Linked DNA regions of Mus musculus. The protein of the gene in region 1 purifies or fractionates together with the protein of each later gene. This does not show direct contact. Links are inferred from orthologs where the notes say so. Each region holds a gene or a part of one and is shown in the gene's direction. Other genes may lie near its edges.

Region 1 (3,522 bases):
CCTAAAACATAAAGAGATCTGCCTACCCCTGCTTTCTTAGGGCTACCATGCCTGGCCTGGCAGCTTCCATTTTAAAACATTCGAAGGTAAACCCTGATGTTTCAAGTAAGCAAGTAAGGCCCTGAAGGCTATGGAAAAAGGAGACTTTGAACAGGCAAGTTCAGATAGACACTTCAACAGTTCCCAGACCCATTCTGTGGCGAATGCCAGCTCAAGTTCTCATTCTTTGGAGCCAACCAGACAGAAGCATGACACTTGAGCTTTTCAGGGAGCTCAGTCATCCATATGGAATTATGTCACTACGGCCTTTCTGATGTCAACGTGAGTAGGGAGGGATGATACTTCGATTAGAGTGTGTGTGTGCGCGCGAGTGTGTGTTCTTGATGAGCCTGAAAATGGTCAGTGTTGTGTCAGTATTCTAAACTGTAGAAATGTATTATTTGTACTTAGGATTTAGATCTGAGAAACTTCTTGAGGGTATAACAAGGCCCCTGGGTCATGGATTTCCAGATATCAGTACTCCGAGGAGAGGTACCCATACCTAAATTTTGTCCCTTTGCTGGGGCTTGTTTTGGGGAACTAGTTTAGAAAATGACAGAGGTCAACTAAATCACTGGATTTCCTTTTCCATAGGAGAGGGTTAGAGAAGTTGGCTCTATGTGTTGTTGGGTTTGTCTGTTTGTTTGTTTGTTTTCTTTAATTTTTACGAGCATATTAACAAAAATCAACATTTTAATGAGATGATGCATACCTGGAATCTGAAAACTTGTTTTTGTCATCTACATTGTTTTGCATGGGGAATGAGATAATGTAAGCCATGTTTCCAATGTTTTCCTTTATCAGGACTAACTGAAATGTTCAAGACTCCAGTGAAGGAGAAGCAGCAGCAGATGAGTGATACAGGCTCCGTACTTTCCAATTCAGCGAATTTGTCTGAAAGACAATTGCAAGTAACTAATTCAGGAGACATACCTGAGCCCATCACCACAGAGATTTTGGGTTGGTTTATTTGTCTTTTCCAATGTTAAACTTTGGAATGGAGACTTGAAGACTGCCTTTTCTTTATAGACAATACTGGGTTCCTTCTCTACAATAGCTTTTCCTGGTGAAATGCCGTTTCCACTTTCTCTGTTCTGTTTTCAAGCAGACTTTGCAATTTTCTAAGCCTTAATCATTGACCTAGCTTGATAGGAAGTATTATTCACTCAGTTAGTAAGTCTAAATGGTGTCTGTATTGCTTTCAACTTCTTCGTTATAGGAGGAAAGAGATACAAACAGTACACTTGTCCTGCTATGTTTATATATAAATTACACAAAATAAAAATTATTGCAAGGATAGAGATGTAACTCGATTGGTAGAGTGCTTGCCTGGCATTTGGGAAACTCTGGGCTACGTCTATAGCATTGCAGAGACTTTGTAGTATATGGCTTTAATTCAAGGACTTGGAAGGAGGTAGGAGGGTCACAACTGCTTCCATGCAGAATTGGATTTGGATATTAAACAAGTACAGTAGAATCTATTACTTCATTAGTGAATCAAGATAATAAGTGACTGTTTCAGAAAAAATATTGCCTGTATTCAGGTCCATGTCACACATGTTGGCAGGCTTTAGAGGACCCTTCTTAAGGATACTTCACAATGGCTCTTCTCTGTTACCAAATAATATTTAATAGATCATAAATAGAACAGGGTCGAGATCATCTAGGAACTGCTTGGTAGAAAAGAAGCTAAATTATTGGTTCTTATATACTTCCTAAAGATAAAATAATAAGCTGATACTAGGTGGTGAAAAATGATACATTTTTTTATGTATATATTTTTCTTTCTTATAGGAGAAAAAGTGCTATCCAGTACTCGGAATGCAGCAAAGCAGCAGTCTGATAGATATTCTGCAAGTCCTACCTTAAGACGGCGGAGCATCAAACATGAAAACACAGTGCAAACTCCTAAGAATGTCCATAACATTACTGACCTTGAGAAGAAGACTCCGGTCTCTGAGACAGAGCCCCTGAAGACTGCATCGAGTGTGAGCAAGTTAAGAAGATCTAGAGAGCTCAGACATACCCTTGTGGAAACTATGAATGAAAAAACAGAAGCAGTCCTTGCTGAGAACACCACAGCAAGACATTTAAGGGGGACATTTCGAGAACAAAAAGTAGATCAACAGGTGCAGGACAATGAAAACGCTCCTCAAAGATGCAAGGAAAGTGGTGAATTAAGTGAAGGTTCAGAAAAGACATCAGCTAGGAGATCAAGTGCCAGGAAGCAGAAGCCGACAAAAGACTTACTAGGAAGTCAGATGGTCACCCAAACAGCAGACTATGCTGAGGAACTACTTAGTCAAGGACAAGGAACCATACAAAACCTAGAGGAATCCATGCACATGCAAAACACATCAATAAGTGAGGATCAAGGAATTACAGAAAAGAAAGTGAACATAATAGTATATGCAACCAAAGAGAAGCACTCGCCAAAGACCCCTGGCAAAAAGGCACAACCTCTAGAAGGGCCAGCTGGTCTCAAGGAACACTTTGAAACACCAAACCCCAAAGATAAACCTATAACGGAAGACAGAACTAGAGTCCTTTGCAAATCACCACAAGTCACAACAGAGAATATCACAACAAACACAAAGCCACAGACTAGCACATCTGGGAAGAAAGTAGACATGAAGGAAGAAAGCTCTGCCTTGACAAAACGTATACATATGCCAGGGGAATCCAGGCATAATCCCAAAATTTTAAAACTTGAGTGTGAGGATATCAAAGCTTTGAAGCAATCTGAAAATGAAATGCTGACCTCAACAGTAAATGGAAGCAAGAGGACTTTAGAAAAATCTAAAAAAAAGGCTCAGCCCCTGGAAGACCTGACTTGTTTCCAGGAACTCTTTATATCACCAGTTCCTACTAACATAATCAAAAAAATTCCCAGCAAATCTCCACACACACAACCAGTCAGAACCCCAGCGAGCACAAAGAGACTCTCCAAGACAGGTCTCAGTAAAGTGGATGTGAGACAAGAACCTTCAACACTTGGGAAAAGAACGAAGTCACCAGGCAGAGCCCCAGGCACACCAGCACCAGTGCAGGAAGAAAATGACAGCACAGCCTTCATGGAAACTCCAAAGCAGAAACTGGATTTTGCAGGGAATTCATCAGGGAGTAAGAGAAGGTCACGAACATCTAAGAACAGGTCTCAGCCCCTAGAAGACCTGGATGGCTTCCAAGAACTCTTCCAAACACCAGCTGGTGCCAGTGACTCAGTGACTGTTGAGGAAAGTGCAAAGATATCTTTGGAATCTTCACAAGCAGAACCAGTCAAAACCCCGGCAAGCACAAAGAGACGGTCTAAGATGAGTCTCATGAAAGTGGATATGAAAGAACTTTCCATACTTGAGAAACAAACACAGTCACGAGGCAGAGACGCAGGCACACCAGCACCAATGCAGGAAGGAAATGGCACCACAGCCATTATGGAAACTCCAAAGCAGAAACTGGATTTCACAGGAAATTCAACAGGAC
Region 2 (3,149 bases), on another chromosome or scaffold:
ATATTCTGATATGTTACCACAAGTGCTTAGAAAGATACTGATTTTTTCTAAAGATACCCAGCAGATAAAGACCACATGCAGGTAAAGCTTCAGAGGGGTTTCCAAGGCTGGAGAGATGGTTCAGTCAACTAAAGGCTAGGCTCACAAATAGAATATCAGGAGTGATTTCCAAGAAAAGATGTGTTCATTGGAACAGCCTAAACTATTTAGTTCCTGTAATTTTACTTTTTCAGAATGTATTTCTTTTGTCTATGAGGACTGAGAAGAAACACAAAGGTCATGAAACTAATAGGAAGGCAAGGTTCAGAAATGAGTTCTCTCCTTCTACCATGAGTCCCGGTCATTGAACCAACCGAGGTCATCAGGTTTGACCACAAGCACCCTTGCCCACTGAGCCATCTCATTGGCACTTGTACCTCCAATTCTAAACCTAAGAACCATAGTTGCCTTGTGGGAGACAGGTTTATGTTGACACATTTTAGTTCTCATAGATGTGACAACCTTTGGCATATTTCCTAGAAGATTCAATGTTAATTTGCTTTTTCAGAAAACGGAGAGGAATAAATTCATTTACTATGGAATTGGAGATGATACAGGGAAAATGGAAGTGGTGGTTTATGGAAGACTCACCAATGTCAGGTGTGAACCAGGCAGTAAACTAAGACTTGTCTGCTTTGAATTGACTTCCACTGAAGATGGGTGGCAGCTGAGGTCTGTAAGGCACAGTTACATGCAGGTACGTGCTCTAGGAAATACCAGTCTTCCTAAGAATCACATACTTTTTGTTTGCTTGTTTTTGTTTTTGTTCTTGTTTTTTGTTTGTTGTTTGTTTGTTTGTTTGTTAATTTCGAGACAGGGTTTCGCTGTGCAGCCCTTACTATCCTGGAACTTACTCTGTAGACCAGGCTGGACTGAAACTCAAAAATGAGCCTGCCTCTGCCCCTGGAGTGCTGGGATTAAAGGCATGCACCACCACTGCCCAGTGCTTTTTAATACTCTAGTAAAGGATGAGTATTGGTAATACATGGAAAATCAAATAGGTAGAGGAAAAATTAAGGATTGCTCATTTAACATATAAGCTTCATTCCATTACTTTTAATAAGAGTTTCTAAACATAACAAGGAAAACAAATGCAGAAAGACAAACATTTTTATATGTTTAACTAATTGATTTAAAAGAAAACTATCAGATTTTTCAAAACAGAGAGTACATTTGACAGGAAAATCAAGGTGTTTGTTTCAAATTCTGACTCTAGTTTTTCAAGTTGACCAAATACTAAAACACAACCTCAGAGTATTCATTTATAAGATGCCAATACTTTCTGTTGCAGAGGATTGTGGACAAAATCATAAGTCCCCAATGAAGCCTTGAGGAAATGAGATGACAAGGAGATGCAGTAAATGTCCACCCACAATAAGCTAGTTCAAAGAACACGCCACACCACTCAGTTATAATACTTATAAGCTGCACAGCTAGATTACACAGATATACCACTAAACAACTCTTTTACCCAGCTATGAGATCCCTTGCTATTCGTGGCTTCTCCAGGCCACATGGCTCTGCCCCATCTTTCTTCCACCTCCTATTCCTCCTCCTTCCTCTGTCTCCTCCTGCTCATCTACCTCTCTCTTCTCTTCAGGCTCTCTAATACCTCCAGCCTCAAATTTCCCTTCCACTGCCAAATCACTGATTCTACTTTTTATTTGACATGGTAAAATGGGGAGAAGGTTCACATGAAATCACCTAAGTATATAATCTACTCCTTGTTGGGGCAGCTCCTCTTGAAAAAAACAGGATTAACATCAAAATACAAATAGCACGAGGCAATCCAAAACAACAAGGTGCGAATATCCACCCTCCTCTTCATATTTACAAACATCTGTGTGGTTTTCTATTTAAACACACAGACACACACACACACACACACACACACACATCACTATTATAATGTAAAGAAAAGAAACATAAGTGATAACTTCTTCACGTAGAAATGCTCTTAAACTACCAGTGTTCTCTAAACCATCAGCCATTTGCCAAAACTCCAATCCTCCTTACCTCAGGAATTGCAACACTTTCCTTTTCCCTGTACCTCTGTAACACACCCTGCACTTTGAACATTGCTCAAGCTGTAGGAGTAACTTGCTAATTTTACAATTCCAAGCAAGAGAACAAAGCTGACTCCAAGAACAGAGATGTATTTAAGGTCAGAGTGAGAAAAGGGCACATGGCACTCATGGTGAGTAGTCAGCAAGAAAGGTGTGGACCCCACTGCATTCCAAGTGATCTGACTTCATTGTTTTCTTCTTTAAGGTCATCAATGCTAGAAAGTGAAGGAAAGCCACTCAACCCAGACTCAGTCGGGAGAACCTCTCTGGAACCATACTTCTGAAAACCTGAATGCCAATGATATTTTTTTGTGGAGATAAGATTCAATTACAGAAAATAAATGTGTATAAGCCTATTGAAATATCAGTCCTATAAAGACCATCTCTTAATTCTAGGAAATGGTGTTTTCTTATATTCTTTACACATTTTCTATATCTAAATTCATTTGTTGTCTCTATAACTTCTATAACTGTTCAATTTGCAATTTTTATGCCTAAAACTTATAAAAATAAATTCACACAATTTCTGTAAAGCAGTGTGCCTTTGGGAGTATCATTTAAACATTTGAGATGTGCTTAAAAATAAATAGTTAGTGGTCCTCAGGTAAAGCTGGAGAATACAGACACCAAATGTGATGTGTAAGGACAAAGCATGTTCAGGAGCAAAGATGTCTATTCTGCCCATTAATGTCAAGGTATTAATAAGATGTGGGAGAAGGTAGAACTCAGCCTTGAGTATAGTTCCAAAAATAATATGCTGAGAACAGGATCAAGTCTTCACACCAGCTATGCTGAGTAATGTGAGTGCGTTATAGAGTTTAGATATTGGAAAAAAATCCCCAGAATGAGGTGTTTACGGTGGGGCATAGTATTTTTAAAAGTAAGGAATCCCATCTTCAATTCCAGAGTCAAATAAAATAACTGCAAATCTTTAAAGCCAAATAAAGAAGGATTATGATAAAGGAAATCAAGGGAATTAAGAAATTGATATTCTCCCAGAGGTCTTTCTAGACTATTGCTTACATTTCTCTCTGCTGTGAAGAC

Evidence for each region. The genes of interacting proteins can lie anywhere in the genome.
Region 2: the proteins of Mki67 (region 1) and Ifi204 purify together in Homo sapiens (affinity purification with mass spectrometry; 3 studies listed by BioGRID and IntAct, with this or other methods). This does not show direct contact. The link is inferred for Mus musculus from reciprocal best matches to the Homo sapiens genes MKI67 and IFI16.

Annotation. Positions count from the first base shown.
Region 1 is NC_000073.6:135,699,379-135,702,900, reverse strand, and holds part of Mki67 (proliferation marker protein Ki-67), read left to right. Parts: intron 1-843; coding exon 844-999; intron 1,000-1,833; coding exon 1,834-3,522. UniProt on the Homo sapiens protein: Protein that associates with the surface of mitotic chromosomes and acts both as a chromosome repellent during early mitosis and chromosome attractant during late mitosis.
Region 2 is NC_000067.6:173,746,782-173,749,930, reverse strand, and holds the end of Ifi204 (interferon-activable protein 204), read left to right. Parts: intron 1-547; coding exon 548-736; intron 737-2,310; coding exon 2,311-2,331; 3' UTR 2,332-2,638; downstream 2,639-3,149.